Linked DNA regions of Ovis aries. The protein of the gene in region 3 interacts with the protein of the main gene of each other region in a pairwise test. Links are inferred from orthologs where the notes say so. Each region holds a gene or a part of one and is shown on either strand. Other genes may lie near its edges. The genes, in order: COPA, COPB1 and COPB2.

The links.
Region 1: the proteins of COPB2 (region 3) and COPA interact in a two-hybrid assay, tested with the Homo sapiens proteins (2 studies listed by BioGRID, with this or other methods). The link is inferred for Ovis aries from reciprocal best matches to the Homo sapiens genes COPB2 and COPA.
Region 2: the proteins of COPB2 (region 3) and COPB1 interact in a two-hybrid assay, tested with the Homo sapiens proteins (2 studies listed by BioGRID, with this or other methods). The link is inferred for Ovis aries from reciprocal best matches to the Homo sapiens genes COPB2 and COPB1.

What each region holds. Positions count from the first base shown.
Region 1 is NC_056054.1:111,321,261-111,324,913, forward strand, and holds part of COPA (coatomer subunit alpha), read right to left. Parts: intron 637-3,653; coding exon 474-636; intron 373-473; coding exon 226-372; intron 1-225. UniProt on the Homo sapiens protein: The coatomer is a cytosolic protein complex that binds to dilysine motifs and reversibly associates with Golgi non-clathrin-coated vesicles, which further mediate biosynthetic protein transport from the ER, via the Golgi up to the trans Golgi network.
Region 2 is NC_056068.1:38,004,151-38,007,803, reverse strand, and holds part of COPB1 (coatomer subunit beta), read right to left. Parts: intron 678-3,653; coding exon 450-677; intron 294-449; coding exon 114-293; intron 1-113. UniProt on the Homo sapiens protein: The coatomer is a cytosolic protein complex that binds to dilysine motifs and reversibly associates with Golgi non-clathrin-coated vesicles, which further mediate biosynthetic protein transport from the ER, via the Golgi up to the trans Golgi network.
Region 3 is NC_056054.1:250,337,969-250,341,621, reverse strand, and holds part of COPB2 (coatomer subunit beta'), read right to left. Parts: intron 2,856-3,653; coding exon 2,767-2,855; intron 2,675-2,766; coding exon 2,568-2,674; intron 1,284-2,567; coding exon 1,140-1,283; intron 256-1,139; coding exon 125-255; intron 1-124. UniProt on the Homo sapiens protein: The coatomer is a cytosolic protein complex that binds to dilysine motifs and reversibly associates with Golgi non-clathrin-coated vesicles, which further mediate biosynthetic protein transport from the ER, via the Golgi up to the trans Golgi network.

The DNA.
Region 1 (3,653 bases), about 140 Mb from region 3:
AAGTTACTGAATTCAGACTAACTCAGAATGACAACAACAGTAGAAATGCTGTGGCAGAAGCAAAAATGGGCAAATAAGCAACAGGAAGATGGCTCAATGACTTAAAAAATCCTAAAATTCATTACACGGGCTGAAGAAGCAAGCCCAGAATAATGTCTTCCCAAGGCCACGGGAACCCCTTCGCCTCCTCTACCACAATACGGGGCTTATAACTACTTCTCTCACCTCGGTGTTTCCACACTCCAGTGCCAGACTGAAGCGAGTTTTCTCATCCTTGACGAAATGCAGCGCCACTTCAGGATATCCCTTCTTCTGAAGATAAGCAATGATAGACTGGCCTACGAGTTTTGCATTCCTCACCATGTGTAGCACCTAGACATTTGGGGTGGGGTAGGCAGGAAATAGAGATCATTTATAGGAAAAAAGGAGCACTGCCCCTCTCAATACTCCTAATATGCTTCCTCATTTCATACCTCGTCATATTTTCTGTTTATCAGGGCCAGTTTGAACTTGAACTCAGTGGGATCAATGGTGAGCACCCGAGGACGACACTCCCTGTCCAGGCAATATACATTGTTGCCCTTCACCCGCGTGACGTAGATAGGTAAATCCAGAGTTCGGATGATCCCATAGTCCCTAAGAATAAGAGTTAAAAAGCACAATTTTCAGCAAATGCATGGGTAAATCCAGCCTATATGGAAGTAAGACAAGTCTAGTACCTAGTCTTTTATCTTCTCATTATCCCTTTCTCAAGTGCCATTTGAACAATGGTATAGATGTGAAGTGAAATCAAAAAAGAGCAGAACTAAATGCCAGACTTATTTTATTCTCTTGTGTGAAGTGGGAAAAGATGGGGCAGATGGTATGATTTCTCTTTATAAGCTAATACTCTACAATCTAAGAGACACAGCTATCAGAACCAGACCTGAAAGTTAAGAATCTTAAGTTCTGATATAGAATCACTAGACCACTGCTGCAACTGCTTAGTCACTTCAGTTGTGTCCGACTCTCTGACGCTAGGGACTGTAGCCTGTCGGGCTCCTCTGTCCATGGGATTCTCTAGAAGAGTACTGGATTGGGTTGGCATGCCCTCCTCCAGGGGATCTTCCGGACCCAGGGACTGAACCCGGGTCTCCTGCACTGCAGGCAGATTCGTTTACCACTGAGCCACCAGGGAAGCACCACTAGACCACCATGAACAGGTCAATCCTTCCTTATAAGCTGTGAGTGAGAGCAGAAGACAGGTACATGTGAAGACTCCTGACAAAGAAATGACGCAAGGCATGTGATGTTTTAAACTAAACGAAAATTAAAAGTTTACAAATGAAAACTTGTGACTGTAGCTAACACAATACTTGAAGGATAATTTATAATGTTAAGTACTCACATATTAGAATACTCAAAAATTAATGAGCTCTATATGTTTAATATTAGGATAAAGACTAAAAATTAATAAGTATCCATCTCAAAAATTTTATTGTTCTTTTAAAAGTTAAAACAAAGAATATACTTGGAAGGAAAAAAATAAAGCCAATAGTAGAAATTAAGAAATAGAAAACAAAAATACAATAGAGAAATTCAAATTATTTGAAAATAGCCTAATAAACTAAAATTAAAGTGGAAAAGATTTGTGGACCTACTATGGCAACCCACTCCAATATTCTTGCCTGGAGAATTCCATGGACAGAGGAGCCTGGGGGCTATAGTCCCCTGAGACAGTCAGACACAACTGAGAGACTAATACTTTCACTTTCTTTTACCAGATGTAAAGACTTACAAAACGATAACACTCAAGACAATGCAGAATTCGATCATAGATAGACAAAAGACCACAAGAAAACACATCTTTGTATTTCTGTAAATGTGATTCATATATCACAAAGATAGCTCTGCAGAACTATGGGGAAAAGTTGGTATTTTTCAATACATGATGTTGGTACAAAACTGAGTGTCCTTATGAAAAAGTAAAGCTGAGCCCACTCACTACACCTTACACTATATACAAAAATCAACTTCAGGTAGATTATAGACCTAGATGCAAAAGGCAAAACTATAAAGTTGTCATAGGAAGAGGTAAAAGAATGTTCTTATGATCTTGGAGTCAATAAAGATTTCTTAAATAGGACACAAAACTTGATATCCATAAATGATAAGATGCATAAACTCAACTACATTAAGAACATCTGTTCATTAAAGGATCTCAAAAGAATCAAAAAATATGCAACAGAATGGGAGGTGATATTAGTATTTGTAATACATTGCCATCACAAAGGATCGATATTCAAATAAATAAAGAACTCCTATAATAAAAGAACAAGGATAACTTATTTAAATGAAGGATAAAAGCCTTGAACAGGTAGACACAACCAAGTCCTCAGTGCAGATGTATCACAGATGAGAAAATTGAAGGACATAGTTCAAGGAACTTGACCAAGGTTTGCTACAGCAGGGAAAGACTTTGCCTTCATTGGTCAACTCAGATTAGCGTACTGGATGGATCAGCTGGTGGCATCTAAAAAGAGAAGAAACCCAGCTCCACCCACCAGAACTCCAACACAAGCCTCCCTAACCAGGAAACCTTGACAAGCCACTGATAGAACCCCACCCACAGTGAGGAAGCTCCATAATAAAGAGAACTCCACAAATTACCAGAATATAAAAAGGCCACCCCAAATGCAGCAATATAACCAGGATGAAGAGACAGAGGAATACTCAGCAGGTAAAGGAACAGAAGAGTTGCCCACCAAACCAAACAAAAGAGGAAGAAGTAGGGAATCTACCTGAGAAGGAATTCCGAATATTGATAATGAAAATGATCCAAAATCTTGAAATCAAAATGGAATCACAGATAAATAGCCTAGAGACAAGGATTGAGAAGATGCAAGAAAGGTTTAACAAGGACCTAGAATAAAAAAGAGTCAAAATATAATGAATAACGCAATAAATGAGATCAGAAACACTCTGGAGGCAACAAATAGTAGAATAATGGAGGCAGAAGATAGGATTAGTGAAATAGAAGATAGAATGGTAGAAATAAATGAATCAGAGAGGAAACAAGAAAAACGAATTAAAAGAAACGAGGACAATCTCAGAGACCTCCAGGACAATATGAAACGCTCCAACATTCGAATTATAGGAGTCCCAGAAGAAGAAGACAGAAAGAAAGATCATGAGAAAATCCTTGAGGAGATAATAGTTGAAAACTTCCCTAAAATGGGGAAGGAAATAATCACCCAAGTCCAAGAAACACAGAGAGTTCCAAATAGGATAAACCCAAGGCGAAACACCCCAAGACACATATTAATCAAATTAACAAAGATCAAACACAAAGAACAAATATTAAAAGCAGCAAGGGAAAAACAACAAATAACACACAAGGGGATTCCCATAAGGATAACAGCTGATCTTTCAATAGAAACTCTTCAGGCCAGGAGGCAAGACATACTTAAAGTGATGAAAGACAATAACCTACAGCCCAGATTACTCTACCCAGCAAGGATCTCATTCAAATACGAAGGAGAAATCAAAAGCTTTACAGACAAGCAAAAGCTGAGAGAATTCAGCACCACCAAACCAGCTCTCCAACAAATTCTAAAGGATATTCTCTAGACAGGAAACACAAAAAGGGTGTATAAACCCGAACCCAAAACAAT
Region 2 (3,653 bases), on a different chromosome or scaffold from region 3:
CTGTACTAGTTATTTTTCTTTTACAATAAACAGTAGGACCAACAAATTCTTGATTATTACTTTCAAAAGCAGCCAATTTAAATAACCCACTGGTGTATTTGGTATATCGTTACCTTGTTAAGTTTAGATGCTAGGGGATCTGCGGCTTCTTTTCTCTGTGTGTTACCCATTGCTGCCAGCAAACTCAGCTGAAACTGATCTTCCTTGCAGTTCATTTCATTCTTTGCAGTTAGTTGCATGAAGGAAATTGGGTCATCAGGCTGTACTGTCACATTCCTTTTTTCAGATTCTTTCTGTGTTGCAAAAACAATATATCAACTCTCTTTAATTTGGAAAAAACGATAATTTTTGGAGGCCTTCAACATAGACACTCCTCACATATGAGAACTGAAAAATCAACAACAAAGAACACAAAGCACTTTTATGCCTTTATCATATATATACCTTACCTTTTGGGATAATTTTTCTTCTTCAAGTTTAGCAGATAACATGTGAGAAAGGGACTGTCTGCATTCCTTATTGAAAATGTCATTCATTAAAGGTGAACATTCAGATAAGACCTTGAGGCACAAGGAGATTCGATCTACATCATCGTCTGTAATCGGCTTCTTAGGAAGAGAGGATTTTCCCAAATGTAGGATAGTGGCCATGAGCAACATTGCTTCAGCAACAAAAGACTAGACAAGGAGAGAAACGGTTTATTTATTGTCAGGCTTCTACAAATGCAATAACGTCACTTTAATATAACTCAAAATTCAAGAAATTAAACCTAATATCACTTAACCTGAATATTTTAGATTTTATTTTTTACACCCTTTTCCTTCCTGCCACCCTCTAAAACCTTCATTAACCCTCAACTGATAGAGAGCAGAGATTTAAAAACTTTTTTCTCTTCCTCTATTTTCTCTTATACTTTCCAACTTCAGAAAGATAAAAGAATGATTTTTTGTTACTGTTCAGTCTCCAAGTCATGTCTGACTGTGTGTGACCCCATGAACTGCAGCCTGCCAGGCTTCCCTGTCTTTCACTATTTCCCTGAGTTTGCTCACTCATATCCATTGAGTCAGTGATGCCATCCAACCATCTCATCCTCTGTTGCCCCCTTCTCCTCTTGCCTCAATCTTTCCTAGCATCAGGGTCTTTTCCAATTTGTTCTTTGCATCAGGTGGTCAAAGTATTGGAGCTTCAGCTTTGGCATCAGTCCTTCCAACGAATATTCTGAGTTGACTGCCTTTAGGATTGACTGGTTTGATCTCCTTGCAGTCCAAGGGACTCTCAAGAGTCTTCTCCAGCACCACAGTTCGAAAACATCAATTCTTCAACTCTTAGTCTTCTTCATGGTTCAACTTTCACATCTATACACAACTACCAGAAAATCATAGCTTTGACTATATGGACCTTTGTTGGCAAAGGGATGTCTCTGCTTTTTAATACACTGTTTAGGTGTGTCATAGCTATTCTTCAGGAGCAAGTGTCTTTCTAATCTCGTGGCTGCAGTCACGGTCTGCATTGATTTTGGAGCCCAAGAATGATACACTTCACCAATTGTTAATATTCTGCCAAAACTGTGTTCTTACTCTAACCATATATGTACATTTATTTTTTTGACTTGGGCTTCTGAGGTGGCTCAATGGTAAAGAATCTGCCTGCAATGCACGAGTGTGGATTCAATCTCTGGGTTGGGAAGTTCCCCTGGAGAAGGAAATGGCAACCCATTCCAGTATTTTAGTCTGGGAAATCCCAGGAGCCTGGTGGTCCACGGTATCACAAAGAGTCAGACTTCTGACTTAGCAACTAAACAACAACAACAATTTTTTTGGCTTAACGTATGAAAGCAAGAATCTTTACTTCATAAGTGCTTTAGCAAACATCTCTTGATTCAGGACAGTTTCCTGGATAATCATAATATCATTATCTCACCTAAAAAACGTAACAATTCCCAACTATATCTACTACACTCCAAATTCAACTAAATCTTACTAATTGTCACAAGATTTTTTTTTTTTTTTTAAATCCAGGATCAGGTTCATGCATTTTGATTATTATTCTCTTTAGCTCCTTTTAATCTAGACCAGTCCCTTGGTTTTCCATATTGTTTTCCACCATTGTGATGTAAATGTATCTACACATTGTGATCAGCATACATATATGAAAAAATTATCAGAAGCCTGGGGAAGAATAAATCTAATAATCCTTTGTGTCCAGATATGGTCTCCACAAGGAAAGAGAAGGGGAGACAGAGAAAAGTAGCTAAAGAAATAATAACCAAAAATTTCTCACATTTGATAAAAATTATAAAACTACATATTTAAGAAGCTCAATGAACCATAAGCAAAGGAAACATAAAGAAAAGCACACTAAAGCATATCCTAATCAAATGACTGAAACCTGAAATTCTAATTATAGTGATAAAGAGAAAACCCAAAACCAGCTGGAGGAAAACAGGACACACTCCACAAAGAGGCACAAGAGCAACATCTTGATAGTATGGAAAGCCAGAGGACAATGAAGCAACATCTTTACAGTGCTAAAAGAAAAAACTGTCAACCTAGAATGCTATACCTACAAAGATATCTTTCAAAACTGAAGGAGAAATAAGGGCTTTTTCAGACAAACAAAAACCTAAAGAATTAACTGTCAACAGATCTGCACTACAAGAGAAGTTAAAGCAAATTCTTTAGGCAAAAGGTGTATGATACCAGCGAGAAAGTCAGATCTACATTAAGAAATGAAGTGTGTTGGAAAAGGCATAAATGAAGGAAAGCCAAGACAGCACGGTGATGAACAACCAAACTTCCTTCTGCCTTGTACCAAAGGTGGCAAATTTCTTGAACTAGTATGTTACCAGAAAGCTGGTTCTCTTAAACAGATTCCAGCAAATGCTCTCCCAACTTGCAGAACCAAGACATAAAATGTTGGAGATTTTTAAGAAGCATAATTTAAAGAACAGACGAGACCTAAATAAATAAATAAGGGCCCTCAGAGAATTACAAAGTAAGTTACTCCTCATAAATAAAAGTAATTGATTAACAAGAGATAAAACATCTTATAATTTACCTGATCTTCTGAATCTTATGGATTTATGAGTAAAGCTATATATGATGGACATTTTTTTAAAAATCCTTCAAAAATCCCTAATCTAAAAATAAAGTGTCATCTTATATGCAGGTCTGACTACATGAAAGAATCTAATGGATTATTATGGAGCTATTGAATATTATTATGATTAGGAAGGGTTTAGAAGAGCATAGGGAAAATGTTATAAAGTTAAATGGAACTACAATATGGTAATACACAAAATGATCTCTACTAGGGAAAAAGTGTTTCAAAGATAAAAGTCATAATAAACTCTGACAAAAGGTTTTCGTTGACCTGAACTGAACTGAATGTAATCCTATTTTTTGATGTTTCTATCTCCACTACAATATTAATAAGATTTGTACTTCAGTGTTTTAACCATGACTGATTTTTTTCTCATTAATCTTCATTACATCACTCCTTATTTTAGCAATGTGAAAAAAGATATGACTAAAAATAAAATAAAAAACACTCAGTTTTACCACAAAGTGATTTTTTTTAATGAAAGCAAAGATTTTTTTTCAGGCAAATGAAAGCTGAGAGAATTCATCATCAGCAGACCTGCATTATAAGAA
Region 3 (3,653 bases):
TATTAAAACCATAAAACTAAAAAACCAGGCCTATCATTGTAACAAGCCAGCAACTGGTTTTATTTTTAAAGTATACTTTTAAATTTAGGATGTTAAAAACAAAAGCAAAATGATAGTCAGCTACCTGTCCAAGTGGGCAATGGTGACTATTTCTCCTCCGACATAATAATTTAATCTGTTCACAGAACTTGTGTAAATGAAGCAATCGCCTACCCACAGCCCTGTTTTCACAATTTCCTGAATCTCACCAAGAACCTACAGAAAGAAAATGAAGCCTGTTATTATCTTATTCAACAACAAATAACAAACTGTCAATAATAAAAAGCTGAATATAATTAGGGGTGACAGATAGAGAAAGAGATGCAAAGAAAGAATCCTACTTCAAGAAAGAAAATCTTTCTTGGAATGTCTATCTTCTTTATTCATTTAAGAACAGATTCCTGGATGAGCACCTATAATGTTAAGTCTCACCGTTGAGCCAAAGCTATAATCTAAGAAAGTGCTGATCGAAATTCCTAACATACATGAGACTGGCATAATAAGTACTTCATAAAATCTTCTAAGATACCTCCACCATGGATGATTTATCTTTATATTTGGAAGTTCATTTAATTTATTTTTTTAAAGATAATTATAGACTCTCTTATTTTAATTTACTTTTTAAATGGAGGAAAATTGCTTTACAATATTGTATTGGTTTTTGTGGTGCAACAAAGTGAATCAGCCATAATGAATATATATATCTTCTCCCTCTTGAGCTCCCATCCCTTCCCCGCCAAGTTCCACCCCTCTAAGTCATCGAAGAGCACCAGGCTAGGCTCCCTCTGCTTGAAAACCCATTTTAAATAACTCTAGCTAAACTGTCTTAGGACCATAACAACTTCTAACTTCCTTACTGAAAAACTGTCAAAGTTGGTCTAAAGATTTCCTATAATCAAAGCACAAATCTCTTTTAACAAATACTTTCAGACCCTGATCTTTGAGCCAAGACTTTAATTTTCACATTTTACCGTAACCCCTTAAATGTTTATTAAGTTTTCCCAAACCTAATTTATAATAAAATGTTACAATGAGTGAAGTTCAGCTGTAAGTACATAATTCATTTAAAAACAAAGCTGAAGTTTTATTGATGCAATTACCTCAAAACCGTCTTCAATGCCATCTTCAGTAACTCCTTCATGTGTTTCCTGTGCAGCCAAGACTTTTTCTGACAGATATTTAAGGATAAAAAATGACTCCTCAGTTGCGATACAGACTAGCTCTCCAGAGTCAGACCAGAAAATCTGTGACATGACAAACAAAAACCCAGATAAACGATTTTAGAGTCTATATGAATGTGACAAACTGCATATGCTGTTTCCTACAAGACTTATCTTCTTACATTAGGATAATAAGTAAGCACTTAATCTGATACATATATATGTACACACACACACACATTTGGGAGGGTGGACAGGGCGCTGCTACTTTATGTACAGAAATGGAAAGCCCTAAGGGAGGCAGGAAGAAATGCTGGCAGTAGGTCCCGGGTGCACTGAGATTCAGAGGAGCACGAGAATATTCCCAGCTGCTCTTCAACAGTGTTTCTCCCTCCCTCCCACCCCCATTATGACCCCCACCCCAAACCTTTTTTAGGCATTGTTTCCCAATCGCTTTCCTTTATCAAGTTTTATTATCACAGATACTACACATCTGAAAGTGAAAGCTGCTCAGTCATGTCGACTCTTTGCAGCCCCATGGAGAGTATCCTGCCAAGCTCCTCTGTCCACGGAATTCTCCAGGCAAGAATACTGGAGTGGGTAGCCGTTCCCTTCTCCAGGGGATCTTTCCAACTCAGGGATCAAACTCAGGTCTCCTATATTGCAGGCAGATTCGTTACTGACTGAGCCACCAGGGACGCCCACTATCCATCTATACATTATGTAATACATAAACATACACACAGTACACAAGCTCGTAACATGTATGAACATATGAACATCTATGCTTTACAGACAGAACAGAGTACTTTTTCTCATCGACTGGTTTCAGGAACTGATGTCTGTCTCCTTAAGGATGATGCCCCCCTTGCTGAGAATGCAGACTCTAGAACTCAGAACTAGGACCCTGGGAGATACCTGTCTCCAGAGATAACTTCCTGACAATGAAAGCTCTCAAAGAAGCAGGCAGATCTAAAGGTAGAAAACTGTCGCTGGTGAAAGGCCACCTAAAGTTTAAATAGCCGTTATCAGGTAACGTAGGCAAAGGCTTTCTGAACTGAGTGGGAGACTTGCAGGTCTTGCCACGCCAAGAACTCATTGACTTTTCCTCTTCAAAGCATTAAAGCCATTTAAAATAAGACTAGCACTTGGTATCTGTACAGCTCTTTATACTTTTCAAAAAGCCCAACATCTACTGCCTTATTCAAATACCCCAATCTTCCTTTTTAACGCAATCCTGAGGTAAATGGCCCCATGTCCAGCACAATGGGACAGGGACAGCAGGGTACCAGGGTATTTCTTGGCCTCAGGGACCCAGAGTTTGTCACAAAGAGGTACATTCCAACAATAGCAAAGACGGAAGCTCACGTGTTTGGGTTGAATTTCAATTCTGCGTATGAGTTCCGTATTTTCCCAGTCATAGAAAGCTAAACCATTTACAGACCTGACTCCCAGTAAGAAGCCTCCATAGATACCTACAAAGAACAACAAAATATTTTCAGATCTTTAGATGTTTTTGAGCGATTACAAAGTTTCTAAAATTGTATCAAATATAAACAGCACTTACTTTCAGCTCCAAAGTCTGGTTTAAATGATTTTTTTTCCTTAAAGTTCTTAAATATCTTTACAACACTGTTGCTCTCTCTTATTGCATATCTGTGGGGAAAAGGAAAGCAATCATAACCTATTACATATACACTAAACTGTAATTCCACCAAATATTACAAGTATCTTCACATGTATTTAAGTAGTGAATTACACAAAAATATAAAATTAATATCTGAAGATTCACTAATATATTTTTTTCCTAAGAGATCAGTGAACTGCTTACAGTTGGACAAATAATGAACAGGCTTCACAATGTCTATTATACAAATTACTAGGGCTTACAAACCATTTTATAAGATCCAAATGTCCTTCAACAGGTGAATGAGTAAACCAACTGTCGTCTACGCATAAAATGGACTACTACTCTGCCCAAAAGGGAGCCAGTTATAGATCCATGCAACAAGCTGCTGTTTAGTCGCTCAGTCGTGTTTGACCCTTTGCAGCCCCAGACTGTAGCCTGCCAGGCTCCTCTGTCCATGGGATTCCACAGGTAAAAATACTGGAGTGGGTAGCCATTTCCTTCTCCAGAGGATCTTCCCAGATAAGAGATCAAACCCGCACATATCCTGCATTGCAGGCAGATTCGTTACCACTGAGCAATCTGGGAAGCCCATGTAACAACATGGATGCAGCTCAAATACATTATGCTGAGCAAAACAAGCCAGACGACAAGTACATACCGCACAACTCCACTGACGAAATCCTAAAGAAGACAAATCTAATCTAGTGGGGAACAAGGGTGGGATGCTGACTGTAAGAGAAACAAGGGGATTGGTTTTGAGGTGACAGAAATGTTGACTGTGCTGGTGGTTATAGGTTACATCCATTTGTCCAAATTCGCTGATA